Alligator mississippiensis: one gene and its partner. The protein of the gene in region 2 interacts with the protein of the main gene of each other region in a biochemical or structural test. Links are inferred from orthologs where the notes say so. Each region holds a gene or a part of one and is shown on either strand. Other genes may lie near its edges.

Evidence for each region.
Region 1: the proteins of PKD1 (region 2) and HDAC9 form a complex in vitro, tested with the Homo sapiens proteins (2 studies listed by BioGRID, with this or other methods). The link is inferred for Alligator mississippiensis from reciprocal best matches to the Homo sapiens genes PKD1 and HDAC9.

What each region holds. Positions count from the first base shown.
Region 1 is NC_081828.1:162,518,354-162,533,695, forward strand, and holds the start of HDAC9 (histone deacetylase 9), read right to left. Parts: upstream 6,673-15,342; 5' UTR 6,075-6,672; coding exon 6,050-6,074; intron 1-6,049. UniProt on the Homo sapiens protein: Responsible for the deacetylation of lysine residues on the N-terminal part of the core histones (H2A, H2B, H3 and H4).
Region 2 is NC_081836.1:57,686,518-57,701,670, forward strand, and holds the start of PKD1 (polycystin-1), read right to left. Parts: upstream 6,693-15,153; 5' UTR 6,573-6,692; coding exon 6,319-6,572; intron 1-6,318. UniProt on the Homo sapiens protein: Component of a heteromeric calcium-permeable ion channel formed by PKD1 and PKD2 that is activated by interaction between PKD1 and a Wnt family member, such as WNT3A and WNT9B. Both PKD1 and PKD2 are required for channel activity.

The DNA of each region.
Region 1 (15,342 bases), on a different chromosome or scaffold from region 2:
GGCAAAAGGTTGAACACCACTGGGTTAAGCCGTTTTAAAAACTGGCTGATCACCTCTGAGGAGAACTCACTTTAGATTGGGCGTACCATTTTTAGGATAAACTAAGACCCAAGAATGCCTAAACTGCGGGCCATTTAGATCAACCTAACTTAGGGTACATACAAATATTACATTTAAGTTGACGTGACCAAAGAGTAGAAAACTGTAAGAGGCCCCTCTTGTTTTTCAAAGATACAGTTCTTGGAGATAAGAAGTGCAGTAATGGGTCAGACAAATGGTCCATCTAACCTAGCATCCTGTCTCTGACGGTGGCAAAGCTAGATATTTTTGAGGGAGACGACTGAACTAGATAAATCTAGAATGTTCCGTCTCCTGTTCATTACCATCCCTGGCATCCATCATTGTTAGTTTTGAGATGACAAAGGAAACATCTCCAAGCATTCTGTTCCTAAGTTATTGAGAGATCTATCGTCCATAAATTTAACATTTTTTTGGCTTTTTTGGTTGACCCTGCATATTGAGCTGACATTTTTAGGGAACTCTCCCCAAGGACTCTTTCCTGAGTTGTAACAGCCGAGTTCAGAATTCAGCACTGTGTAAATATAGTTGAGGTGATTTTCCCCCCACATGCAATATGCTGCACTTGTCGGCGCTGAAGTTCATCTGCCATTTTTTTGCTCACCGACTCACTTAGCTTGGTGAGAGCTTTCTGTAACGCCTTTCCATCATCTTGGGATTTGACTACCAAGAATAATTCAGTGTCATCTACCAACTTGGAGATTTCACAGTGCACCCCCATTTCCAGATCACTAGTAAAAATAATGAATAGAATTGGGCCCAGTACATATCCCCACAGGATCCTACATTTGATCTCTTTTCCATCTTGAAAAGTGATGATTTAGTCCTACCCTGCTTTTGCTTTCTACTTTCTGGCCAGATCTATAAATGTTTTTTTTGTTCGGTTTATTTTTTTACAAGCCTTTGAGGGACCTTGTCAAAAGATTTTTGAAACTCTAAATCAGGGGTTGTCAACCATGGGCAATTGAGAAGGCCCTAGGGGGTATGTGCAGATAGGTGGGAACGGAGCACCACCATGCACCATCCCGCGCTGCTGCCGCCCGCCCAGATGTGGGAGGCAAGAGAAACTCGCCCGTGGTGGCTGCCGCACTGCTTGGCATCTGTCTGTGCGCAGCCACCCCAACCCCCTGCTAAGAATCCAGCTGCCAGGGGTACACTGCTCCGCGTTTGGTCGCTGGGGGTACACTGATCAAAACAGGTTGAAACCCCTGCTCTAAATGTATGTCCAGCTGGATGCCCTGCCTTGTCTACATGTTTATTAACACCCACAAAGAACTCCAGCAGATTAGTTAGGCAGGATTTCTCTTTACAAAAACCATGCTGCCTCTTCCCCAAAAGATCATATTTGTCCATGTGACTGGTAGAAAATATGATAAAGAATGAAATTGGCAATGTGCCAGGTATGACAGTGAGACACACTGGTGGATCACCTATGGAATGCTTTTTCAAAGTGGCTGCTATGTTGGCAACCCAGAAGTCCTCTGGCACTAAGTAATAATATTCAGCAGTTAAACAGATATTTACATGGTCATCTCACTGAAAAATGAAAATTAAACAACCAATCTTCTCATCACAGGTTCCAAAATCCTTAAGTCTTTTTTTGTTCTTTGTTCCTAGCTTGCAGAATAAACTGCTTAAAAACATGAACTAGAAAGAGTAGTAGTTAAAACCAGTACAAACTATGCATCTTCCCTGGACCTAGACAGATATCCTATCTCCCTTCCCCTCCCTGTCCCAACCCATGAAGTTGATCTGTTATTGTGACATTTGTTTCCACATGTTCTGCATCCATTTATCTACCACACAGTTATTTTATACAATGTTTCCAATGACTATCCAAGCTGCAACTTTTGAAATACTTTAACTTTACCTTACACATCTTAAATGAAAGGAACATACCGAGCCCAGCATACATTTTCCCACTTATGTAACTCGTGGTGGTTTACAGAATACAGTTCTGCTTAAGTCATATTAACAGGCAAAAATTAAAAGCAACAACAAAGGGAAGTGGTTAGTCAACTAGCTACTTGTTACTCCCTCCCACTACTTAGAGCAGTAACTGACTCAGCTTTCAACCAAGTTCCTCCTTTCAGCCTTTTTTAAATTTACACATCTCAAGTAGAGTATATTCCTTTAGCAATGTAGGTGCTGCTTCAGATATGGCCATGATAATAAATAAGATTAGAATATAGCCAAGTAGTAAGGTACTTAGCTTACTAAGATATTTTGCTAGTACATTCTTCTGTTAAAACAGTAGCCTACAGAGTTCTTTTAAGGGTATTTCTCCGTTGCTCTCAACTTGAAATTGATACCAATGAAATGTAGAAGACTTCAGGAATGGAAGGATAGGCTCATAGGTATCAACTTTGGTTTTTGCCAGTGGGTGCTTATAGACATTAAATACACATGAGAAAAGCACTTTAAACTTGGCGAGTTCCCACACTGAGCCCCGTGCATATCCAGAAGATGCAGCGCGTTACTTCAACCTGTCTCTAAAGCACCTATAAAGATCGGGCACTTTAGTGGGGCTTTTTTAGCACTTTATCTAATAGCTGATTGAATCAGGTTTAGCTAAAAGCACCAAAAGGCCTCTGAAGCACCCAGTCTTTAAAGATGCTGCAGAGCCAGATTGAAGTAACAAGCTGCTTCTTTCAGTAAAGCACAGTGTTGTTTCTTTGTTATAATGTCAAAACCAAAATAGACATGGCTTGTGGGTGCTGAGCACTTGCTAATTTTTTTTCAGTGGGTGCTTGAGCCCCAGAGCACCCACGGAGTCGGCACCTATGGATAGGATGGCAAAGTATACAAGGTAGTCTTCACGAGTCGGGGGGGGAGATTGTTTTGTTTAACTAGACTCTACAAGGAGCAGGAAACCAGGTACACTAAAATAAGGTCATCATTTCAACAACATGTCTAGCACCATGAGGGAGAGGGGAGGCAGCTAACGCTCTTGCACTCCACAGGCAAAATGAAGCCAAAGAATCAGGTTCATATATGTAAATCCATCTTTGTGAGTCAAGTGAGAACTAACATAAAAAGAGAATTGCGCTTTCCAGTTATGTATCTATGTTGTCATAAGGAATACCAATGTGTTCACTTTCTATTGTAAGTTTTAAAAAGGAAGGAATTATGTATGGCAAGGCATAATTTCATGATTTCCTTCAGAATCTCTCAAATTTTCTCTCACCCAGACCCTGGTAATCAGTTGCTGAGAAAGTCATTTGATTTAATTCTCCATTCCCAACAAAGGCTCAGGGGAGCTTATAGTAAGAGGGCAGGTGCCTCATAAAAGGGGAGAACAAAACAACTTATAAAAGAGTACCAACCTAAAGCAGAGACTCCATACACCAGGCTTGTCCAACACATGGCCCGCGGGCTGCCATGATGCCCACCAAGCCATTTTCTCTGGCCCAAGGTCCCTCGCTCGGGACAGGCGAGGAGTCCTGGAGCCTGCTCCACAGCGGCAGCAGGGCAGCGGCGAGGCAGGCAGGGCTGGCCCATGGGCCCCAGCCGGCAGCGAGGAGAGCTGCTTACCCCCGCGGGGCCAGGCTCATCATACGAGCTGGGTCCCGCCGCCACTGCTCCGAGGGCTGCGGGGGGAGGAGGGGGGTCTGCCCCAGCCGCGCCTGACTGGACGACCTGGGGACAGCACCTGCAACTTCTCCTCTGGCTCCACCCCTTGTGCGTGGCTGGGGGAGCTGCAGCATGGCCCGCGCCCTGCCCACATGTGTGGTGGTTGGAGGCACCAGGTAAGTTCCCGCGCGGAGCTGGGGGCGCCTCGGGGCCAGGCTGGGGCTGCGGGGCACACAGTTGCCAGAGCCGGGCTGGGCAGGAGGAGCCCAGTGCAGAGGCACTCTACATCCAGCCGCCTCCTTGGAGGTTCAGGTCCTGCTAATGTAGCCTGCGTGGCTGAGGATGGGGGTCTGCATGCTGCTGGAGCAGCCCATGCAGTGAGGGGGTCCTAGGGGCCCACCTCCATAGCATGCAGCCTGTGCAACACATGCTGGCGTCATCTGGGGCCCACAGCCTCACCAGATCTGAACAGCCCTGGACCAGCTTATCCCTGAGATCTCTTCCACGTCTCTGCAGTATATGCCTACAGTTTCTATTTAATTACTAACTTGATCATGGTCATTGTGGGTAATTAAATAGAAACTGTAGGCTTCAGAGGCTGCTCTGAAGCTTCGGAGCCACTTCAGCCAGATCGAAGCGGGAAACCGCTCTGGAGCTCCAGATTGGATCCCTGGCATCCAAAGCAGCCGGATCCGAAGCCGGATCGAATAGCTGCCTACTCGCACAGGCGTACTAGCTAGGTATCATATGCCTAGTTTATAAAACCTACTATTGTCCAAGATAATTATATATTCTACATAATGCATTCTATGTTATATATTACGCCAAAGGTACCAGTGGGTTTTCTTTCTCTCTTTAGAGTCTCTGTTATACAACTTCTTTTTAAAGGATTTTAAAAACTTATGTTTATTCAATCCAAGTATCTCCAAGCATGTTAAATAGAAAAGAGTGTCACCTAGAAAGACATTTGATTTTTAATTCTTCTCCAAATACAAACCAAGATATGGTATATTATATCCAGAGGAGAGGAAAGAAAACTAACTCCAGCCAGGACACCTTGAACTGTTTTAGGGTCAGTTTTTGTTTTGTTTTTTTTTTTGCTATTTGTTATGCTCACTGAGCAATTTGTCTTTAGGTCAAGTGTCAAAATACAATGCTTGAACTATCCTTAAAGGCTAAAAATACTAAATATTGCATGATGGTTAGACAGGAAGAAGCTTAGAATATGGTTCAACAGAAGCTAAGGTAATTGAGTGTTAGATGTACAATACAGACAGATAAAATCTTGCACCTGCATTTTCTTGTTTGGAATAAATATGTTGCAACATTTCTATATAAATTATATATAAACAGAAAGTCAATCAAGGTCAGGAGTCATCCACTTCAGGAAGTCATCTGAAGTTTTTTAATATCCTCTCCATGTAGGCAAGTAGGCCACTGGTGATGTTTTATAAAAAGAAGGCCACAGTTTAATTTTTAAATGGAATTCATATAAAATCCATGGCCCAGATTTTCAACTGACACAAGCTTGCACATATTCACCGTCTTCAATGGAACAACACTACTTTATTCCAGATCATTCCCAATATTTCATTGAACTATGTAGGATAAGCTCATTTTGAACAAAACCTTGCCATTCAGTACATTTTCTGCTTTCTGGGGCAGAGGATTTGTCTGAACTATCTACTTAATTAAAACAAAATAAGCCATGACTTAAACTGTGAGAATTAACAGACACCATAGAACTACAATACATTTAACAGTGCTACTCCCCACCTACCTTTCAAGAGAAGAACCGTCTGGCCTCAATGACTACATCAATACCACCATCATATAAGAACCACATGTTTAATCAAATGTTTCAAAGACCCAGTTAAAAGATTCTCTTCCAAAGCTGCCAAAAATACATGAGGGACCACCAACAACCCATTCACTCCAGCAGTTCCCCCAAAAAATACATATAACATAACCATAAATACTAAACACATGTATTACATAGCCAAATAACCCTCAGCTCCTCTCACTAGCCAGTATATAAATTCCTCTCCAGATCCACATTAAAACAGCCCCTATCACACCAACACCATAACAAAGTCAGGATTCTGAGAGTGCCCTGAAAATCTCCCAAAATCTTTTTTGAGACCTGAAGAGAGGCAAAATCTGGAGCTACAGAGCCCTTCAGTGAGCATGTCCTGCATGGAACCTCTTCCCTTACCCTATTTAGGTGGCTTCGCAGTTATTGAAGCATAAGACACAAAATGAAGTTGGTGTTCAAATGGGCAGCAACTAAACCATTTGCACATAGTTAACAATGCCAAGGTCTGTGTAGCAGGTTCAGGGTTATTGATTGGCTCCAAAATCTTTAAACACAATACAGTCCCTTATTCCCAGGACACACCTGTTTCACATGCATCCTCGTACATCAGTTGGTCCTCTAACAATCCATAAAGGGTTAACTCACAGGTCTGAGTCCTCTTCAGCCCCAGACAAGCTGCTCTTCAGCTTACTGATGCTTCTTCCTCACTGCAGTCCTTCCTCTCGGACCAGCTGTGACTCAGCTCTCTGCCATGGTGCTGCTACTCCCGGTCTTACAGCCTTTGGGTCTGTTCTCAGACCCCAAAAAACCCTGGTTCTGTATTCTACCTACTAGCCAGACCACTCTCTCTCTACTTCTGTTCTGCTCTCCTCCCTGGGAGCCTTTCAGCTTCCCATGGCCACTAATTATCTCCCTCAGCTGGCCCAGTCCTCCTGAAGAGCCTGTACTTAGCACTAGCGCTTACGGCTGAGCTATAGCTTCTGGCTCCGCAGCCCACTACAGAGGGCCTGCCACCTCCTTCTGAAAAGGAAACAATAAAAGCCCTCTCCCACAGGTGAAAGCTCTGCATTCAGGTGCAGCTATTGCAGCAAGATCCTTAGGCAGGATTTTTCAAACAAAAGATGGATATACACCATTTCTGCTGGGACAAAGAAGTATAATTTCTTATGCTGTAGTATATGACTAAGGATAATACCTCAACATGCAAGGGGATACTTGCATTCAAACATTTTAGCATTATAAATGTTCTATCCTTCACCATTTACTGCAAGCTTTACGCACAAACAAGTGTGTATTTGTTCAGATATTGCTTTTAGTTATAGCTTTTTTACATCTGGAAAAAAGATAAGATAAAATAGTAAACCTACACCTGTATTTATGTCATTTTTTTATTATTTACTAGATAGCGGTTTGCTATTTCAAAACAAAATGGAATATAAGTGGGAAACAAGCAGGATGAACTAGCGCTCCTGCTTGCACTAAACACCTATGACTTAGTAGGGCTAACAGAAACCTGGTGGGATTCATCCCATGACTGGGCGGTACATATTGAGGGCTATAGATTGTACAGAAAGGACAGGGTGGGGAAGAAAGGGGGAGGGGTTGCGCTCTATGTCAGTGAGCAATATACGTCAACCCTCATCAAGACAGAATCCAAGGATGAGGAAGTAGAAGGATTGTGGGTTAGGCTACATGGGGGGCAAGGAGAAAGGGATTTGGTGGTAGGGGTCTGCTACAGACCCCCACATCAAGGGGAAGAAAGAGATTTGGGGCTCCTGAGGCAGCTCTCGAAGACCATAAAAGCTAAAGAGACGGTAGTCATGGGGGACCTAAACTACCCGGACATCTGCTGGGAGACGCAGACAGCAAAGTCCCACCGCTCATGCAGGTTTCTAACCTGTGTACAGGACCTCCACCTGACACAGGAGGTACACGGTCCCACTAGGGGGAATGACATACTGGATTTGGTATTGGCAATGGGAGATGACATGGTAGCGGACCTCCAGATCGGTAGCCATCTGGGGGACAGTGATCACCTAATAATAGAATTCACCATAAGACGTCGAGTGGGTAAGGTAACTAGTAGGGTAAAAGTGCTAGACTTTAGGAAAGCTGATTTCAATGAACTCAGGGGATTAGTCAAGGACACACTGCAGAGTAGATTTGAAGAAATGGAAGCACAAGAAGGGTGGCTGTGCCTTAAGGAAACGATCCTTCGGGCACAAAGCAAGACGATCCCCAAGCAAGGCAAAAGAGGGAAAGGGGCCAGGAGGCTTCCCTGGCTGACCAGAGAAATCCAGGGCAGCCTAAGGGACAAAAGAGGAGCACATAAAAAGTGGAAACAGGGTGAGATCACCAAAGATGAATATACCACCTCTGCTCGTACTTGCAGGGAGGCAGTTAGACAGGCCAAAGCTACCATGGAGCTGAGGATGGCAACCCAAGTAAAAGACAACAAGAAATTGTTTTTTAGATATATAGGGAGTAAAAGGAAGGCCCAGGGAGGAATAGGACCGCTGCTAAATGGGCAGAAACAATTGGTGACAGACAGGGGGGACAAGGCTGAACTCCTCAACGAGTTCTTTGCCTCAGTGTTCCTAAGTGAGGGACACGACAAGTCTCTCACTGGGGTTGTAGAGAGGCATCAGCAAGGCGCCAGACTTCCATGCGTAGACCCTGAGATGGTGCAGAGTCACTTGGAAGAACTGGATGCCTTTAAGTCGGCAGGCCCGGATGAGCTCCATCCGAGGGTGCTGAAGGCACTGGCCGACATCATTGCAGAGCCACTGGCGGGAATATTTGAACGCTCGTGGCGCACGGGCCAAGTCCCGGAGGACTGGAAAAGGGCTAACGTGGTCCCCATTTTCAAAAAGGGGAGGAAGGAGGACCCGGGCAACTATAGGCCAGTCAGTCTCACCTCCATCCTTGGCAAACTCTTTGAAAAAATTATCAAGACTCACATTTGTGAGAACCCGGCAGGACAAATTATGCTGAGGGGAAATCAGCACGGGTTCATGGCAGGCAGATTGTGCCTGACCAATCTAGTCTCTTTTTATGACCAGGTTACGAAATGCCTGGACACAGGAGGAGGGGTGGATGTCGTACACTTACACTTCAGGAAGGCCTTCGACACGGTATCCCACCCCATACAAGTTAAGAGGTTGTGACTTGGATGACTACACAGTCCGGTGGGTGGCGAATTGGCTAGAGGGTCGCACCCAGAGAGTCGTAGTGGATGGGTCGGTTTCGACCTGGAAGGGTGTGGGCACTGGGGTCCCGCAGGGTTCGGTCCTTGGACCAATACTCTTTAATGTCTTCATCAGTGACTTGGACGAGGGAGTGAAATGTACTCTGTCCAAGTTTGCAGATGACACAAAGCTATGGGGAGAAGTGGACATGCCAGAGGGCAGGGAACAGCTGCAAGCAGACCTGGATAGGTTGCACAAGTGGGCAGAAAACAACAGGATGCAGTTCAACAAGGAGAAATGCAAAGTGCTGCACCTAGGGAGGAAAAATGTCCAGCACACCTACAGCCTAGGGAATGACCTGCTGGGTGGTACAGAGGTGGAAAGGGATCTTGGAGTCCTAGTGGACTCCAAGATGAACATGAGCCGGCAGTGTGACGAAGCCATCAAAAAAGCCAATGGCACTTTATCGTGCATCAGCAGATGCATGACGAATAGGTCCAAGGAGGTGATACTTCCCCTCTATCGGGCGCAGGTCAGATCGCAGTTGGAGTACTGCGCCGCAATTCAAGAGGAATGCGGATAACCTGGAGAGGGTCCAGAGAAGGGCCACTCGTATGGTTAAGGGCCTGCAGAACAAGCCCTACGAGGAGAGACTAGAGAAACAGGATCTTTTCAGCCTCCGCAAGAGAAGGTTGAGAGGCGACCTTGTGGCTGCCTGTAAGTTCATCATGGGGGCACAGAAGGGTATTGGTGAGTATTTATTCACCAAGGCGTTCCTGGGGGTTACAAGAAATAATGGCCACAAGCTAGCAGAGAGCAGATTTAGATTGGACATTAGGAAACACTTCTTCACAGTTCGAGTGGCCAGGGTCTGGAATGGGCTCCGAAGGGAGGTGGTGCTCTCCCCTACCCTGAGGGTCTTCAAGAAGAGGTTAGATGAGCATCTAGCTGGGGTCATCTAGACCCAGCACTCTTTCCTGCTTATGCAGGGGGTCAGACTCGATGATCTATTGAGGTCCCTTCTGACCCTAACATCTATGAATCTATAACTATAATTTCAAGTCAAATAACTAAAAATGTTTCATTTTATCTCTTGAGAAATCTTTACACAGTGTTCCTTCCTATTTAAAAAATTAAAAATAAATGAAACAAAACTATCTTAACTGTTCCAGTCCCCTTTTAGACCATTGCTGAAATTCCTTGAGGAAGTGCAACTTTTAGAAGTTTGGACAGCTTGTTTCAGTTCCCCAAGCTGTTTCTTTTTAATATCTTTGCCTAAAAGAACAAGTTTTTGCTGGGAGTTTTTTTTTTTTTCCAAAAGACAAATTTTTATGTGGCAAAACATAAATTGTCTTTTAAAATCTGACCTTTAAATCAAATGATTATAAATCAATTAGAGGAAGAGAGATAGCCACCATTCTATTTTACTCTGTTGTTTTCTAAGGAATAAAGAGGTTCCATGATTTTTCTGTGGAAAGTGTTATTTTATACCTTGTGCCAGGTATACGGCGATGAGCATAGTAGGAAACAACCTACCTCTCACTTTGTCACTGCTGAGAGAACCTTTCCCCTGTGCCACTTCTATCTAAGATAGTGCACATCTTCCAACCCAGCTACACTTGCTGGTAGGTTGTAGGCCAGACTGCTATTTGCCATTCATACTGCCTCTATATAGCCATCCAAAGAAGACAGTTCTCCCAAAACAAGCTGTACCTTCTCCCGCACTGCTAAGCACAGAAGCATTTTGAATTCCCTTGTAAGGTCACAGAAAACAGTTCACAATCTGACCCTGAATGAAGAGACCCTTGGATAATAGTGGACAATGCAGTACAGTATTCATATTAGAACAGTGAAAGTAATACTTTTTACACAATATAAAAAAGTCATTATCTTTAAGCCTTTACCTTTACACTATAGACTTGCAGACAACCCAATATTCTAATTTTCCACTGACTGCTGATTGAAAGTTTTTTTTTGCCTACAGACAGCATTGCTTTAAAATGTAAGCAAAAATGCATCTTCCCTGACTTGAAGAATCTGATCACCTTGCCTGTTCAGATCATACGTATCTTCCATGTTTTACTAAAGCTTTCCATGGAGAGGACCATTTACTGTTTACAATCAAAAGGATCTTACTTGTCCACTGTATGAAAAAGTGCATTAAAATAGCTCAATATTGCTAAAACCATTCCTGACATTTTTTGCACTTCTCCCATACTCCAGAGTCAATGGAAATATTTTTACAGAATTAAGAATTTTCAAGCTCTCAATTCACAGTTAAGATAAGATGCATCAGTTGTGTGCATTGTATTTTGTGGGAAAAGATAGCAAGAGCTGGATTCTCATTTACATTAAAACTTCTTCATGCACTCAGCTATACAAGGAGACCGTAGAGGAGAATGTGTCCTGCACCTCTTTAGAGCTCAAGAGCAGACAGAGCACGACTGAGATGCAGTGCTGCAGAGATTCCAGGAAACTCTGCCACTTGGAGGACAACCAGAGGGAGGCACTTCATTCACCACCTGATCTAGAGGACTAGAGAATTTTTCTACACAAAAGTTCTGCATCCCTGTCCCAGAATGCCCTTCTAGTTACTAGGCCTGACTCACTTATTAAACTGAAATGCCCAAGGGATTCTCAGCTGTCTGTGGCTCAGGGTCAAGAAGCTGTCACGCAGGCCCCTGATAGATGTTAAAGGCATGATGGGATCCGATGCAGGACCCCAATAATCACACTTCTGATTTTTGGGGTCCTGCAATTATGGAATCCAGCAATGCTTGTTGCAGGAAGATCCTGCACATCTTGGTATGAGGCTTTAAAGAACCCCTTTGTGCCTTTTCTATTCAAGAGAGCTGAGGATCTCACCTACAGAGCCATTTCAAGGGGCATTACTTGAATCATTTTAGTGGGTATTACCAGGATAAGCCCTCTTCCTTCCCCCATTTTTTCACCTTCATTTACAACTTTCTGACAAAATACAATTTTTCATGAATCTACAAAATAAAATATTTTCTGGATTCTGGCAAGTGTGAGGCCACCAAACTGTTCTTGAATGGAGACCCTCTTAAAAAAATTAAAAGAAAAAAATAAAAATAAAAAAAAACAAATCAACCCTGCATGCTCCTCACCCGTTACAGACAACCATCCTGAATTGTATTATGGTGGTGCTAACCTAACCCACAGAGCGAGTAAAAGCCACATTTCCATTCCGTCCTTAACACAAGCTCTGATAATATTTGAAAGGACGTTGATGATGTTGTATCTTTTCCATCTGTTTTTAAGACAACTCCAATTTAGTTCAATGTTGTCTTTTCTCATTATCTGATATCACATTGTCTTTCACTGTGCAATATGGCTCCTTCCTTGCCATGGGATAGAAAAAAACCCCAAACCAAAAGTAACTGAAGCACCAATCCTCAAACTATTACCAAAGGTTCCATGTTTCAAGTAAAACTCCTGAAATAAAGATGCTAACACACTATAAATTAAGGTTTTTAACAAAGACCTGCCAGAACCCACTCAGATCCATATCTCATGCATCTAGCCAATTCCCCAATGTCAAAAGTCTAATGATGCTTTTCCTTTTTGCTGTGCAGTAATCTCTCATTAACAAAAATCTTATGTAAAAAAAAGTTTCAACTTCACAGCTGTCATAAGTATCTGAGTATAAAGCGATAATATGATCTTGTGCAGCACCTCTTTCTTGTTCAGATAGCCTCTCTACCATATTCTCTTTCCAGTGTTTTATGTATGGAAAAAAATATATGTTGAACAGTGAGAATAGAGTATGGTTTCATTACTTAAAATGACTGACTGCAAGCAGCAAAAGTTTATAAAATTACTAGGATTTACAACATTAACTCTTCGGCCATCCTCTACCTGGACATCTCAGAATTAACCGTCATATGTTCCCATGGGGTAATTTCCTATCCCAGACGCATATTTTGTGTAGTATCTTAAAGTTAACTCATTCTACATTTTTTTCTTCTTAAGAAGTTGCCACAGGCACTGCAGCACCCAATATCCCCAAAAAACAGCCAGCTTACATGAATAGTTTGCTCTCTGTGGATGAAAAGCATATTACCCCAGGCATGAATGTTTTTCCGTATGGGGTAACAATTTACTCCAAGCTCATGTTAACGCATTGGGGTAACTTGTTACCCAATCCAATTTTTGTATAAAATGACAGGCCTAGGCCTGTTTAGCCAGAGTGGATACATCTGAAAGATCAGCATTCATTCACACCTCATTCATGTCCATTTCAGGTATCCACGGTAACTAATGGATGGCCATCCTCCACTGCTTTTGCCAAAGATGTGGTAATCCCTTTTGCTAACCACTTTCTTTGCAGGCTGCAAGGTTATCAAAACACCCTGCCCTTTGCCAAAAAACAAAAACCCTTTGTCACACCCAAATCCATGTCTGTTCTCTTTTCTCATGACAAAACTCCACCTCATCTACCTCTTTCATAATATACAAGTTAGTTTGCTCTGCTTTTGTTGGAAGTGAGGACAAGGAGCAAAGGGACAGCAGAGAAGAAACAGAACAACAGCATACTGCAATACAGAGTACACTATGGAGTCCCCTTCAATGGTAAGGGCTCGACACCCCCATGCCCCTTTTACCTGCTCTCAATAAGCTCCTGCATATGTGGTTTCCAAACAGCATCCACCTACACTTGGCTTGCCTGCAAAGGGTGGATGATGGTCTCCGGCTTTTGTGCCAAGGAGGAGAGGGTGTTACCTGCACTGCCACAGGGCAGGGCAGAATTGCTTCTGTGACAGCATAGGTAGACAGGCTTGTCTTTGATTGTTATTTATATGCATTCAGCAGTAATCAATTTTTTTCTTTTTTTTCTGCAGTCCAGGATAAGAAGGCAGCACATATTCAGTGCTTAAGCCTGTCTTGAACAGGTAACCGGGGATGAAAGCGACACGTCCACTGATGAAATCTTATCCCAAGGCAGTAAGGATTCTGACTTCTTTCCAGACATGGGAGACTGTTCAGAGCAGGAAGATCACGTGTCTATGGAAGCTTCATCCAGCTCAGATGAGGAGGAGTTGGTGCCACAAGCAGAAGTGATGCCATCACTTCCAGTGGGAAAGGGAAGAGGATCAGTCCGGGGTTGCTGTGGAAGACCAAGGAGAGCTACAGCAGGATGTGGAGCAGAACCACTGCCACCACCCCCAGAAAACACTGCAGATGATGACACCTTTACAGGAAGGAATGGCAGAGTGTGGGGAAAAAGTCCACAGCTAATACATCTTCGGAGAACAGCCAAGGACGTAGTCCATGAAAGTGCAGGGCCAACAAGAGAAAGTAATAAAGACATGGTGGTGGAAATGTTCCATCAGTTTCTCTCTCAAGATATCCTGACTCACAAGATATCCTGACTGTTATACTAAAAGAAACAAACAGAGAGGCAGAAAGAAGATTCAGGGAGTGCAATGATAGCGATCCTGAAAATAGGAGTGGAAAAAGCTGGAAGAAACAGAGCTGAAAGTCTACGTTGGCCTCCTACTGCTAAGTGGTCTATACTATGGTGGTCATGAGGCATTGGAGGAGTTGTGGGAGCAACGCAATTGGGTGTCCTTGCCTCTGTGCCACCATGACTTTAAAATTATTCTGCCAAATCATCAACTACCTGAGATTTGACAACAAACTGACACGTGAGGAAAGGAGAGCTGTGGACAAGCTTGCGGTCTTCAGAGATATTTGGACACAATTAGTGGAGCAGCTCAGGAAATGGTATATTCCAGGAATACACCTGATGGTTGATGAGCAGCTCATTGTGTTCAGGGGTCACTGTCCCTTCAGACAGTATATGCCCAGCCATCCTGCCAAATATTGCTTGAAAATTTGGTGGTGCTGTGATGCAGCAACATCATTCCCTCTGTCTGGAGACATCTACCTGGGCAAGCAACCAGAAGCTCCATGCCAAGGTAATCTTGGTACCCAGGTCGTTGAAAAAACTGGTTTATCCCTTGTACAAGATGAGAAGAAATACTGTGGGTGACAATTTATTTACAAGTATTGACCTGGCAAAAAGACTGCTACAGCAGGACTTGACCTATGTGGGTATGATTTGGAAAAACAAGGACAATATCCCAAACAAAATAAGCAAATCAAAGAAGGGAAACTTTTTTATCCATTTTTGCTTTTGATGGGGAACTCTCCCCAGTTTCCTATGTTCCAAAGAAGTCCAAAGTTGGGCTGTTGCTGTCAAGCCTGCACCATGACCAGTCAGTGGGTGGAGAGCGAAGAAAGCCAGACATTATCCCCGACTACAATAAAAACAAGGGTGGGGTGGATAACCTTGACGACTTAGTCCATACGACCACCTGTGGGGTGGGGGGAGGGGAGAATCACCAATGACACTATTTTTCAATATACTGGATCTGGTTGACACTGCCAGCCTCATCATTTGCGTGGGCCACAATGCAAACTGGAAGCAAAGATCACATATAAGAAGGTGGTGCTTTTTTTTTTTTTTGCAGGAGCTTGGAGAACAGTTGATCGACAGACAAATAAAACAAAGAATGATGGATACACGTAATCTGTCTGAATCTATCAAGGCTGGTATGACTGGCCTAAATTACAAATTGCCACAACGCACCCCAATAGAACCTTTTGCAAGCATGACTAGATGTTGTGCTTTTTGTCCAAGGACAGATGACTGCAAAACCC
Region 2 (15,153 bases):
TTACTACAGAAATTAAAGAAGGACGAGACAAACGCAGTGCAGAAACCATGGGCAGGGAGGGAGGAAGGATGCAGGACAAGATACAACCGGGATTTCCATTAAACTCATTTGTTCACCCCGTGCCCGGGTGTGCCCTGGGTAAGAGCAAGCCTGACCGCACAAACCCAGCTTGCCTTACGCCCAAGGAGGCTTCCTGCAGGCCGGTGGGCCTCAGTGGGCAGGCAGGATTGGGCCCGTGCCCTTATTTCAGCAGGCAAAGGGGAAAAAGGAAGACCCATCTCCAAGGAAGGAAGTAAATGGGGGGGAGACCACCCGCAGCAGGGGAAGGGGAAGACTTGAAAACGCCCATGTGAAAGCAGGACTAACACAGACACGGGGACCGAGCAAAGACCCGCCACTTGTTGGCGTTAACGGGACACAGCAGCAGGTCCCTGCAATCTCAATGGCTAGCAATGCAGGGGCACTTCAGGAAAAATCTTATTTTCTTTAAACACAAGCCTCGACAAGGCCTGGAGATCACAGGCGACGTCCCACAGATGGATTTTTTTAGGGGGAGAGTTAATTTCTTGATCCGAACAAAAGGCGCCATCCATGAGGTCCAGATGCAGAGTCCTGACCAAACAGGGTTGAAAGAGACCTCAAGAGGTGGAGGCCAACCCCTCGCTCGGGCAGGATCAGCCCCGTCTAGCCCATCCCAGGCCAGTGTTTGCCTTGCTGCACACCTGAAATCTTCCAACAACTGCAAAAGCCAAAAGGGTAACCTGCTCCAGTGCTGCACCGCCTTAAAGGGTTCGAGTTGTTTTAACCGAAATCTCCCTTGCTGCAATTTAAGCCCATCTGGCCAACGGGATACTTTGGGTCTAATCCTGCAACTGGATACTTAGGGTCTGATCCTGTATCACAGACATTTGGGACCTGAATGGGGAGCATGGATGGGTTTCTAGACAGCAGAGCCTTTGTCCTGCCCAGCTGAGATGTGTAGCTGCCGCTTCTGCGTTTGCCACCTCTGGTCTGATCTGCAAAATGGGGTTGCAATGAATTACCGAGCACAAACCCTTAAAAGGCCACTCCGGAGACAGCTTAGCAGGCAAGATGCCTCGATATTGCTCCTGGTTCTTCTGCACAACCACTTGGCCAGTTCTGCAAGCAGACATGCGCAACACTTTGTCACGTCCGCTCCCCGATACACAGTGTCCTCAGTGACTGTGTTTGTGTTACTGAAATGCTGAACACTAGCAGCCGAAAAAGCCCCAAATTAGACTTCAAAATGAAAAAGGATAACCACCGAAAAGAGGGCTGTACCTGGAACGGGTCTGGAACAGCTGGAAACAGGGCCGTAAACAATGCCGTCCAGCTGTGGGGAGCGATCGCCTCCAGCCGCACAGGCACTAGTGACGCTCCCTGCTAGGGGTTAATAGCACCATCTACATCCCCACCTTGCTCACTGCATTAATTAACTCAGGCTATATTGGGCTCAAAAACACAGTTTATTCTGTCCTTGCAACCTCGAGAGTGAATGTGTTTGCACTGAGTCCTCTCTGGCCCTCGACTTGTGCCCTCGCTCATAAAAGTTTTTTGAACACGAGATCCTGGGCCTGCAGCGCGGGTGGAGATGAGGACTCTTACTGGAGAAAGACTCCCACTTTTTTTAGGAGCTGAAGCGGAGATATTTAGGATCTGCGGGCTGGCGGCTTGCTGCTGTTTTTCCCTTTAATTGGATTTTAGTTTTCATTCTCTTTCGGACACCTTCGAGCCCGGAATAAGGGGGTTTTCTTTATTTCTGTTTCAAGACACAAATGCTGTCTCATGGAGACCTGCTGTAAATGGCAGAGGCTTGCAAATAAATGGGTGAGAAAATAAATGTGACAAAACACATGCTCTGCTCTTGCAAAATATATTTATCCTGACACGGTTTGCTGAGCTCAAGTTGTTTGCTAGGCTGCCCGTTGGCAGAGGTGACCCAGACAACAGGCACCGCAGTCCCCCCAAAATAACGTGGCGATAGACCGTACTCAGCACCCAATCCTGGCCCGATTTTGCACAGTTACCCTACTCACCTAAGCAGTCTTATGGGCGCTAAAGGACTGAGTGTGCAAAGTGCTGAGTGTGCAAAGTGAGCGTGTTCACAGGATGGAGCTGTTTGTAAGTGCTACGAGTCCCTGCTAGCGTTCTGGTGCTGTCTCTGCTGCAAACTAACACCACCTTTTTGGACCCCCCTGAAAAATGTCAGGATTGTGGAAGGGAAAAGAAGTGACGTTTCCACAGTACGTGCGTTTTATACAAACGGATACTAATCCTGTGTCAAAAGTCACCAAAAGTGTCCAGAAGTGTTGGAAATCAACTACCTCACCAAGTCCCCACCGACCGCAGCACAAAGGGGTGAAGGAAACCCGCAGGAGCGCGCTTTAAGGTCGTCTGAAAACACTTTTCCAATCGGTGCGAGCGCAGACCTGCCAGAACCGACGCCTTAAACGCGACACGTTTCAAGCGCACACTCAGACTGGAGCGTGCTTCGCCTTTCCTTTTAAATCTCAATTAGGCGTGTCTGCAGAACAGCGTCAGTGCCCCTGCAAGCCACATTTCCTGATGTCCTGTTCAACAGAGCAGGCCCCCGCTTTCATCTAGGTATGCAGACTGGATGTCTGGCAGGGCTGGTTTTTTCCCCCTTGATTTCTTTTGGATGTGGCATTCCCTTTGTGTTCACAGCAACCGCTCCGTCAACGCTGGCAACTCCGAACGCGAAAATGCAGGGCTGTTCTGCTCGATACCGGAGGAATTTGTTCCGTAGACTTTGAATCTAGAGCTCCCCATACGTAATCGCATTTTCCTTCAGCGGAGCAATTACCACGCGCCCGACCGCAGACCCGGCCGAGTTCGCTGCACGGCGTGTATCATCCCTTTTGGTGTTAATACTGTGCCCAACATCACTGCTTTCATAAAAGGCCATTTTCATTTGGTCTCAAGTTATCCATAGAGCTCTGACGCTTTTATTACAATATGCTCCCTCGAGCAAATGTGCAAGCGTAAGTAGCTGAATATTAAGACCACCTGCTTTATGAGTCGGGATTCAATAAAAGGAACGTCAGACTGGGGAGGCTGTATATGTGGTCTAGTTTCCCTCCCTCCTAGCTTGTGGATGTGCAAATATAGGGGGTCAAACATATATCCTGAGAGCCACCCGTAGGCAAGTATATCTCCTGCTCCCAAGAGACACAGAGTAGCAAGCTTGCTACATGGTTTATTTACATGGCTACACTGTACATCCCAATGCGGATCCGGGAGCTATAGGGCACAAACATCTGGGCAGGCAAAACAGGAAAAGTGCATCTTTTCATAGCCTTCATGGCGCACGCTGGACGACCGGTCCAATTATGACAACTCCTTACCGGAGCAACGCTATGCGTGCAAACCGTCCTTCTCAACAAGTGTCCAAACACATCTTGCTTATTCATCCATGAAGGAGAATTTGATAATAACACCATGAAGTCTCAGTCGCCTGACTCCAGAAGAAGTCTTCCTGCAGGTTGGGGGGTTTATCTAGCTGGCCCTTAGCGTGCAACTTGGATTTGCAATGACATCAGAACGGCCCACCCAACTCCTCACCTCCACACCCAGCGTAAACAGTTACCAGCAACACTACCGCTCCGGATAAAGCCACTGCAATAAGCCAAAACCTTTCCAAAAACCAGACCAGAGGTTCCCGGGATGCTCCCTGTTCCCACCGCTCTCCTTGCAAGGGTTTTTCAAGATCCTCGCGCAGCCAGGTCCGGCTGTAGTCTGGAGGAACGCTAAGCTTGCAGGGCCTCCACCAGGAATGTCTAGCTCCAAACATACGCAGTCTGGGCAACCAAACTGATCTCACCCAACTAAGGAATTTTTGCAAAAGCCTTTGCTTAGGTTTTTGTAAGAACATTAAAAACTCAGCCACCAGCACAAGGCTCGGCTACGGCCTTTGCAGCAACCGGCGCAAGGCTAGGCTAAGTCTCCTTTCAAAGGTCACAAAACATCTCGTTCTCCAACTTGTATCTCCCTACACAAACACTGAATACTCCGGTATTTTCCTCTAGGAAAGTACCGAGAACGCCCCAGTCTCAACTTCAGGGAAAAACACCGGCCCTCTCCATCTGGCCCCCACATTAGGGAGCTGGAGCTGAGCTCAGCATCTCCAAGGGCGTTGTGGAAGGTCCGATTCGAACGGGATTGTCAAGCTTTGGAAACGCGGGCGTTTGCCTCACTGCTGCGTCCGTCGCGGGCAGGCAACCGGAGGTGTTCCAGCTGCGCGGGGAACGGCTCTCGGGAGCTTTAAGTTTGCTTTTGGGCCTGAATCACTTTGTCTCCTGAAGTGCAGAAAAGCTTTCCCCTCAAGTGACGGACCCGGGGCGACCACATGCCAGCTACAAGACAGAAGAGCAGTTCTCGCAGCTCGACCCTAGCCTGGCTCCCAAATCAGGGACTTGGCTTGGTGGACCCGTGGTAGACGGGTCGTTGCGTCTCTAGACACCCTGAGTGCGCACAGCTGAGATGTCCCTGGACCTCAGGGACATCTCGGGAGTTTCTCTGCACACCCCCGAGGCCGGAGGGATAAGGAAGAGTTTGCAAAGAACATCACCCGCCCTACAAGTGCCCACGGCTCAGCACGGGCAGGAGGCTTGGCAGGGCCATGAGATGCCACAGACCAGGGCTCACGGGGGAAAGGCCCTTCTGCAAGGCAGGGGCACAAGGGCACCTCACTGGCCCCTGCCCGGGCAAAGCTGCCTCCCCTCGCCCTGGGCTGGGCCCGGCCTCCGTTCCTGCCCTGCACCGCTGCCCTCCTGCTGCAGGACAGGGCTGGAGGGTGCCTGGGACCCAGTGCTGGGGCAACACAGCGGGCTGCCCGGGGGCACCCCCCAGCCAGGGCAGGGTAGGGCAGGGGGTCTTTGACAGCCCCCAGCAGCCTCCTGCCCGTGTGTGAGCACAGAAGGGGAGAGGACATCTCCCAGCCCTGTGCACCCTGGTGCACCCCAGCTCCATGTCCCCAGCCTTGTGCACCCTGGCTCTGTGTGCCCCATCCCTATGCACCCTAGTACACCCCAGCTCTGTGCCCCCCCAGCCCTGTGCACCCCCATGCGCCCCAGCTCCATGTGCCCCAGTGTGTCCTGGCTCCGTGGCCCCCATCCCCATGCACCCTAATACATCCTAGCTCTGTGTCCCCATCCCCATGCACCCTAGTACACCCCAGCTCCATGTCCCCATCCCCATGCACCCTAGTGCACCCCAGCTCCGTATCCTCATCCCCGTACACCCTAGTGCACCCCAGCTCCGTGTCCCCATCCCCGTGCACCCTAGTACACCCCAGCTCCGTGTCCCCATCCCCGTGCACCCTAGTACACCCCAGCTCCATGTCCCCATCCCCATGCACCCTAGTGCATCTCAGCTCCGTGTCCTCATCCCCATGCACCCTAGTACACCCCAGCTCCGTGTCCCCATCCCCGTGCACCCTAGTACACCCCAGCTCCATGTCCCCATCCCCATGCACCCTAGTGCACCTCAGCTCCGTATCCTCATCCCCGTACACCCTAGTGCACCCCAGCTCCGTGTCCCCATCCCCGTGCACCCTAGTACACCCCAGCTCCATGTCTCCATCCCCATGCACCCCAGCTCCATGTCCCCATTCCCATGCACCCTAGTGCATCTCAGCTCCGTGTCCTCATCCCCATGCACCCTAGTACACCCCAGCTCCGTGTCCCCATCCCCGTGCACCCTAGTACACCCCAGCTCCATGTCCCCATCCCCATGCACCCTAGTGCATCTCAGCTCCGTATCCTCATCCCCGTACACCCTAGTACACCCCAGCTCCATGTCCCCATCCCCATGCACCCTAGTGCACCCCAGCTCCGTATCCTCATCCCCGTGCACCCTAGTACACCCCAGCTCCATGTCCCCATCCCCGTGCACCCTAGTACACTCCAGCTCCATGTCCCCATCCCCATGCACCCTAGTACACTCCAGCTCCATGTCCCCATCCCCGTGCACCCTAGTACACCCCAGCTCCATGTTCCCATCCCCATGCACCCTAGTACACTCCAGCTCCATGTCCCCATCCCCATGCACCCTACTGCACTCCAGCTCCGTGTCCCCATCCCCGTGCACCCTAGTACTTCTCAGCTCCGTGCCCCCATCCCCATACACCCCAGTACGTCCCACCTCTGTGCCCCCATCCCTGTGCACCTTAGTACACCCCAGCTCCGTGCCCCATGCCCGTGCCCCCTAGTACACCCGAGGTCCATGTCCCCATCCCCGTGCCCCGCAGGACCGCGGCGCCGGGCGGGCCGTACTCACAGCGCGGCGGCGGGCGCGGGGCCGCGGGCGGGCGGGGGCTGGCGCAGGCCGCGGGACGAGCAGTTGAGCAGGCAGGAGCCGGCGGCGCAGGAGCGGGCGCAGGCCCCGGTGGCGGTGGCGGTGGCGGCGGTGGCGGTGGCCCGGGCCGGGCGGGCGGCGGCCAGGAGCAGCAGCGGCAGCAGCGGGAGGAGGCGGCGGCAGAGCGGGCTCCAGGCGGGGCGCGGGGCTGCCGTGGGGCCATTTCCCAAAGGCATCGCTCACTGCGGGCACGGCATGGCCTCGGCCCCGGCCCGCCCGGCCCGGCCCGCTCGGCTCGGCTCGGCTCGCTCCTGCCCCTGCCTGCCCCGTGCTGCGCGGCGCCGCGGGCCCGGGACGCTGCAGCTCCGCCCGCCCCGCGCCGCCCCCGCCCGCCAGCCTGCTCCGCCCGCCCCGCGCCGCTCCAGCTCCAGCTCCAGCTCCCGGCCGCTGCCCCTTCCTGCTCCGGCCAGGACCGGCCCGGCCTCCGCCCCCGGGCCGAGCTCCCTGCTGCGCCGCGGCGACGGCCAGACAGTCCGCGTCCGGCCTCGACCAGCCCGTCCCATCGCCCGCGGCCGGGCAGCACCCTGCGGCGCCGGGGCCCCGGGGCCAGCTGTGCCCGCTCACATGCAGCGCACCCCCCGGAGCACCCCACTTATACGCACGCACGCACACACGCTCTGAGCACCCCGGTCACACGCATGCACACACACTGAGCACCCCGGTCACATGCATGCACACACACTCTGAGCACCCCGGTCACATGCACGCACACACACTGAGCACCCTGGTCACATGCATGCACACACCCCGGTCACATGCATGCACACATGCTCTGAGCACCCCGGTCACATGCATGCACACACACTGAGCACCCCGGTCACATGCATGCACACACGTTCTGAGCATCCCGGTCACATGCACACACACACGCTCTGAGCACCCCAGTCACATGCACGCACACACGCTCTGAGCACCCCGGTCACATGCACGCACACACACTCTGAGCACCCTGGTCACATGCATGCACACATGCTGTGAGCACCCCAGGGAGCTGAGCTGCCCTCCTGCCCCTGCATGCCGGGGTTCACGTTCTCCTCAGCTCTCAGAGCGCTAAAGCGAACCCGTCCCCATCAGTGACATGGTTGCAAGGCCTGAATTACATGGGCCCAGATCCCAGACAGCTCACCTACCTCCTCTTTCAGCACCTGAGCTTTCCCACTTGCCCTTTTGGGTCTAATTCGATTTAATTTGCTATTTAAGCCTAGCACGTCAAGGACTGCTGCCAGGCCAGGTCCCAGCCAGAGGCTCAGACCAACCAAATAAGGAAGGGTTTCCCCGTCCCCCAGTCCGGACTGGGGGTTTGTTATCCTGGCTGAATCAGGGCCACATGAAGCCCATTGTCTGTTTCTAGCGGGAAGAGGGAGCTACCAGCCAAAGTGAGGAGACTTGTGGGGCTGCCCTTCTTGCTCAGTGCCTGAGCGCTTGGTTTGCAAGCAGGAAAACTTGGGCAGCGTCCAGGGCTTTCTCACCATACCCAGCAAATACGGGTGTTTGTAGGGCTGAAAGAGGGGTGAGCCCATGGCACCGGACCGCAAGCAGAAAAAGGAGCTGTGGGCATCTCAGACGGTGCCGGCGCTGGTGCAGAGAGCGCTGTGCAAGGTGGGCACAGACAGCAGCAGGGAGCTTGCAGGCAGGTCTGACCTGAAGCAGGCGGAAGGGGGAGTCTCGAGAGACGCAGGCCCAGCGTGTTCATTTGCAGACCCAAGGTCAAGTCCAAACGTGCCCCAGCAGGAAGGGACTGCTCTAGACCGGGGGTCTGGTTCAGCATCTCACCAGAGAGGCAGCCCTGGAAAGGGGTGAAGCCAGGGGAGGGAAGGTGAGGCTGAGCTGGGAAGGGAGAAGGAGGTGGGAGCAGCAGTTAGAGACCCAAACAGCCTCCAAATCAGCCTTGGTTTGAGGCCAGCTTCTGCTCAGGAACCAGCCGCCCATCTCTGGCCCTGCACGCGCAGCCACAAAGCTCTCCTGAAGGCTGGACCTGGGGTTGCTGGCTAGGACAGGGCTCGTAGCCCCCGCAGGGGTCCTGCCAGCCCCACGCAGGCACGGGCCAGCCTGAGCTTTGCTGCAGGCTCCCAGTGAGGTGGGTGCAGCTCTCCCGCGATTGCAGCGCAAGCCCCCGCTCTGCGAAGCTTGCTCAGGGGGTTTTGACTAAATAAGGCCTGCAGGCTCCAGTCTGCGATCTTTGTTGATGAGATTCCAGGGATTTTTGCTATCCTCCACAATGTCTGGCCCTTCCTAAGCAGCAACGCTTCACGGCGAAGCCCCCGTGGTTGCAAGTCACTGGAGCAGTGGGTCAGTGCTGGGCCCAGAGCGTTCCCGGGGAAGTTGGCCGGGGTGTGCTGGTGCTTGGGGTTCAGCACACGGCGCCTGGACAGAGCACGTCCGGTCAGCAAAGCCTTGGATGGGGATTCACCTGAGGGACCCTCCTCATCCCCCCGGGAGGCAGCACGGAGGATGTGCCTGGCAGCTTTCAACTGAAAGCCCCGACAAAAGTAGGGCTGGGAGGCTGGGGAGATGCAGGTGCAAGCAGCAGGGAGACGAGACAGTGTTCAGGGTGGGATTGGGGTGTTGGGGGGTGAATTCAGGGGCTCCAGGCTTTGCCTTTCACCACAGCTAACCTCACCCGCTGTGGGGGTGATGTGCCACAACTGACCCGGACAGCAGGTTTGTCGTGCATGTGCCGTGACTTTTACCCCCGGCCTGGGCAGAACCGATGCTGTCCTTGAAGCATCAGCTCCCAGAGTCAGGTGAGTGTGTCGGGATCCCAGATTTCCCTAGAAAAGAGGGTTTCCAGCCCCTCCTCCACGTGGGAGGAAAAAAGCTGCACGTTCAAACCTTCAAAACTGCAACCGGATGGCGAAGAAAGACGAGCTCTACATGTGCCTAGGTCTGACCTCGCGATGCTCTTCGAGCACGGGCAGCTCCTGTGTTTGCAGCCCTGGATATGCAGTCAATATTGCGTGTGCATTCACTTAGCCCTGTATATCTGTATACTAGAGGTGTCACTCCTGTATGCCTCTGTTAGCCCTCTCCTCTGCTTGCTAGGCTGCCTGCTCCGTGGTGCTGAATCCCTTGGTCCAGCAAAGCATCCAAGCACCTACTCAGCTACCTCTGAGCATGCGTGTTGCGCCGTGGACGCTGCTAGAGCAATGTCAGTCCTCGTCCACCACGTCCAGAGCACTGTGGAAGCATTAGAAAATCTCATGGCATCTAGTTTCCCTCCTTGGCAGGGTTTTTGTGTCTGTGCGAGCTGCATTTGTGAAAACATCCGTGCTTTTTGGGCTGGAAATCCCCCCCGAAAGACACAGCATCCCTTGCTCGATGAATTAGGCCAGAAATAGCGCCGTGTTTACTACTTTCTGAGTTGATTGCGAAACATTTATTTCTGCTTTCCCCAGTTGTAAATATTTCTTTTTTTTCTCTAACCCTCTGGCATTAACATTCACATCCGCTACAAATTCGGCTTTCAGATAACAGCAAGGAAAATCTATCCATCCATCTGTCCACCCATGCATCCGTTCATCCATCCATCAATCCCCCCATCCATCCATCCATCCATCCATCCATCCATCCATCCAGCTGGAGATTTGAGTGTAATCAACAGCGTCAATCATTCCTGTGACCGAGCAAATGAAGACCCGATGGGGTTGTACTTCCCACCCCCAAACGGTAGAACGGACAAGCTGTTTGGAGGACTAAACAAAGACATCATGGGTGGGCTGGGAAACCGTGCAGTGAGTCTTGATAACGCTGCGAGAGGACGCGTGGTTTGCATTGACTCATGCCTGATCTAGCAGGAAGGTCTCGTCACTGGGATGCATTGTGCAATGCAAACTGCACACGGCCACGGAGGACGTCGTTAGATCCAGGACTGTCTCCACAGGGGGATTCGTCTGCATCTCACCCGTGGTGCATGAGTTGCACATTTCTCAAACGCGGTTTACATGAAATCAAAAAGAAATACAAGAAATCAGCTGAGCAGACATGCGTTTCTGCCCGGCCCACTGCCCTGCCTTAGAGATGCCTTAGAGACCCCACCATTGATTGCCCACCGTCTAGGCTGTAGGCAGGCATAATAATGTATCACGGGGGATACGACGTCACATAACAAGCTGGAGAACGTGGTGGTTGAGCTGGAGCATCCAGAGCCCGAGACCCGGGCTGCAGATGGACGTAACACTTGCCCTGCGACAGCGCGACTCTTACTGCTACAGGCCCCCATAGCCATCCACATGCAGCAAAAACCTGGTTCAGAGATGATCCCTCTTATTAGCCCAACTGAGAAATTGCAAAGAAAAAAAAAGCTTTTCCTGCAAGCTTTCAGGCTCACACACCCTTTGTCCGGCTCAGGGAAAGTTAAAGATGGTAAAAAGTCCCCATATGTAGGAAATATCCAGCCTCTGCTTCCTCTGTGCAAAAATGAAGTGCATTTCCTATATGCAAGATCTTTTTACCATCTTTAACTTTCCCTGAGCCTGATGAAAGGTGTGTGAGCCCAAAAGCTTGCAGAAAAAGGTTAAAAAGCCCTTTTTTCCCCAATTTCTCAGTTGATCTAATAAAAAGTATCATCTCTAAACCAAGAGTTCTAGATTTTTGCATTTCTTTTTGTCTCGGACCAACACAGCTGCCAAATCCATCCGCAAAACCCAGGTTCATTCACTGCTCAAGTGACCGCCATTTAGCTCAATGGCATCGCTATGGGAATGAGAGGTCAGACCCCAAGACTCCCAGGCAAGCACCCTAAGCACTAGGCTACAGCACCACTCCTGTCTGCTCTCCCGAAGACCCTTTAATCCCCATGTGTGCAGTGATCCCAGTGGGTGGAGGGTGCTTTAACCTCCGGCTGCTGTACCCAGAGGGCACCACGCGTCCTCGTCCCCTTTCGGTCCCTGGGAGGAGCAGAGGAATCCCATCCGCAGGCTTCCAAGGGACCTGGAAGATCCCAGCCCCACTGTTCATTTTTCCCTCTCCACAGTTTCCCGTGGTTTTGCATTACCGTGTATTGCATCTCGCCCCTTCCCCATGAGATGAAATCACAGGGTCCCTCTGAGCAGATGTCTCTTGTTTTAGAGGGAGAGAGGGAGCCCTGCTCTGGCTTTCGAAGGGAGCCTGCAGGTGCCTGCCTTGCAGAGTGGGTCTGGGCTCTGGACCCCAGGTAAGGGAGGTGCCGCAGAGCCAGAGATGGAAGAGACACCCCTGTCCTGAGTCTTCTCCTTGGCAGGTGCCTCTGGACCCCGTCCTGGGGTACCCAGTCTCCCCAGGCACTGCAGAAGGCCCAGCACCCCCAATAAGTGGGCACTGCATCTCTCACTCTGACTGCACCTTTTCCCCACTTTAGGTCCAGGCCGTCAAGCCCGCCCCGAACATTGCAGCTCAGCTGGAGCCCAGAGCTCCCTGTTTCCCACCCCCCAGCACACAGACTCACCCCATCAGTGTTGGCAGGTGAGGGCTTATGACACACAGTAGGGTGGTTTGGCTTCCACCCCACAGAAGGCAGCCACGGACTTGCCCTGCCGGTTCGTGCTATGCATGTTGCCGAAACCATTTCGCCGGCACTCCACGCCGTCCTCCATTAGCAACGAATGCCTCGACAGAGGGCAATTTGCCCTGAATTCAATACCCCATCGATCACCACTGCAGAGAGATGAAATGCAAAACACCATCGCTTTTATTGCCTGCACAACGCACATTTTATGCATCACCCTTCCCAGGCTTGGAGAGGGGGGATATCTGAGGAGGGACGCGTGGCTGGAAATTTCCAATACTGCTTTTATCACAGGCCTCGGGGTATTTGTTGGTAAAAGCTGGACTCCACTTACTAGGCAGGAAGGTTTGCGCTTTTTGAACAACGGTCCCTGGCTATCGTGGCTGCAGGGGAAGCGGCAATGTGCAGCTCTTAAATGTTTCCATCATCAGGGGCAGATGAAAGCGGGCGGCGTATGTGGTGTTTTTAAAAGCAAATGCCTTTTAACTCCATCGATTTCTGGAGGGGACGGTTTGAGTCATGATTTTTGTTTTTTGGCAATAGGCAATACTGAGGCTTTGATCCAAAGGGAACCAAGAAACCTAGCTCCTGCCTGCCCTCTCCCTGCAACCAGGCAGAAAGCAGGGCTGCCGGGGTGTGACGGGGCCTGCTGAGGTGGCTCTTCGGGCAGGGTCGCCAGCGTGGCTGGTGGGCTTTTTGGGGACTGTCTTCCCCCAAAAGGAGATAAGGGGGCAAATAACTGCCAGGTTGGGAAGCATCCCGCGTGGTGCTGCCGGAGTGGCCGCAGCTGTCTCCCTCTCCTGTCTCTTCTGGCTGCAGGATGGAAACGAGCCCTGGACAAAGTCACCGAACCAGCGTTTGTCTCGTTCCCTGATCCATTTGCTTGGAGCAACCTTGTCTTGCTGGAGAAACGGAGCCTGGCGCTCTCCCATCAGCTCTGCCCCACGGCGGCCTGCGTACCCGGGTGCATTCAGCGCATCCCCGGGCTCAGGGTTGGGACCGAGTCGGCGGGGCAGCCCCAGACCGAACATGATTAGCTGCTGCTGCTTAAGGGGCCTGAAGGGCTGTGCCATCCTGGCCCTGGGCCATCACTCCCCTTTGCATCTTTACAGAGCACTTTAGCTCTGGCAGCGCTGCAGGCAATGAGTGTGAGCCTCTGCGTGCACGCACGGCAGGACCTGCCGTGGACGTGTCGATGCCCCTCCATGCTTTTTCTTCCTTGCAACAGCAGTGTTGGAAGGCGACCAGCTGGCAGGGAGCAGGAGCTCGTTCTGCTGGTCCGTCTCCTGGGCCGAGGCGCTGCTAGCTGGCTTTATTTTGAAGTTCCTATAAATACAGTGGTCACGGTGGGCCAGGAAATCGTCGTCTCTCCCCAGTCCGTGCGCTGGGACGAAGCATCCATATTTCACGCCGTCACACCGCACAGCAAGCAGGGCAGGAGGTGAAGAGCTCCCCATGCAGCGGGCATGGTGCGGGGAGGGGATGCCATCGAGTGGGCTAAAATTAAGCAAGGCTACCCGGGTTGACAGCCCCGGGGCAGCTGCAGAGTGCATTGTGTGCGTGTGCCCTAAGGCCTACCAAGGCCTCCTCTGAGCAACCTGCAGGGGCACGGATTCATAAGGGAAGTCTGGCTCCTGGACTGACAAGGTGAGGGATCTGCCTGGAGCTGTACCCGTGTCTTTGGCTACAAACTGACATTGCATTTGTCCAGGGGTAAACCATTTTATCCTGGGACAAAGTGAGATTGTTCAGACGTCCATGTCTGTTGTCCCCGGCTAAATCCTAAGAAGGATTTATCACGGGATAAGGAGGACTAATGATTTATCCTGGGGCATGGCAAAGTGCATCTGAACAGTTATCCTGGGGCTGCATCATCAAATCCGTGGCAGAAAAGCAGCGGTGTTGCTCAGCCCCTCACTGCAACCTGATGAGAAGGGTGACATGTGTGCACGCTTGTATTTCTGTTCCGGACAGATGTGGGCACAACGTGTCCAGGGATAAATGCCACGTGTGGTCCTAAAAGAAATGCAAAAAGCTAGAACTCTGGGTTCAGAGATGATACCTTTGATTAGACCAGCTGAGGAAGTGCCAAACAATTATCTTTGTCTGCAAGCTTTCGGGCTTGCACACCCTTCCTCAGGCTCAGGGAAAGTTAAAGGTGGTAAAAAGTCCCCATAGGTAGGAAATAAACTTCATTTTTGTACAGAGGAAGCTGAAGCTGGAAATCTCTTCCTCTGGGGCGTTCCTAGACTTTTTAAGCCTGAGATGGTGGAGAGCGAAGGGTCGACTGCTGCAGGTGCTCCGCGGGTGGGAATCGGTGGAGCTCCGCTGGGCACCGAAGACCTGCTGCAAAGTCGTCTCTACCGAGATGTCCCGTCCTTTTTGCTGGCAAACTCCCCGAGGGCGAAGCTGGCTTGTGAGCCATGGAGAAGAAGAATGGCATTGCCTGTGCAGGCAGAGACGGTCTATTCCTCCCAGCAGCGTGGCATGCGGCGATGCCCAGCCTGAGCGAAGGTGCCAACACCTGGCCTGGTTTAAGGATGATTTCTGTGTGGACTGGAACCGGTGCAACGTGTGTTGGTTGATGATGATGAGGACAGCCCCGACAGCGCAGACATGGCAAGGCCTGGGGACGGGACAGAGCCCTCACCCATCAATCAGCCAAGGGGCCTCATGCTGCTCTGCCCTCGTGGTGCTCAGCAGAACCAGCTCTGCACTGGAGGGGACCGGGAAGGCCGGAGGGACCCCAGCTGGGGCATTTCCCGCAGCGTGAAGGAGAGATGGCATTTGAGAACAACCGTGGGAGTCGGTATTTTTTATTTTCCCAGAGCAGAGCAGTTCTGTGCCTTCCTCTCCTTCGACGCTGGGTCTCCATTTTCAACCAAGCGGTTATTTTTGCATTAAAAACAGTGATTTGTCATTGTCTTCACTTGAAAAGCTGCTTCGGCTTCATCAGAGCTGGGGCTGCTTTTATGGAGCGGTAGAAAAACATTCCCTGTACGCAGTGCTCCCAGCTGGGTTTGCCCTCAGCCTTGCAGCAAAGTTTTACGTCCTGCTTTGCACACTTGGTGTCCTCTGATGGATGCCATCTCCCCAGGCCTGCCCCGCCGTGTTAGTACAGCCTGCTACAGCATTGCTGCCCTGTGTCCAGCCAGACACAGGACTAGGACATGGGCAGTGGGTGCTGGACACGAAGTCCGTGCCAGGGGAAGCAGCAGCTGGATGCATCTCTGGAACAGCAATTCAGTAAAACATTGGAAGAAGCGACCCAGAGA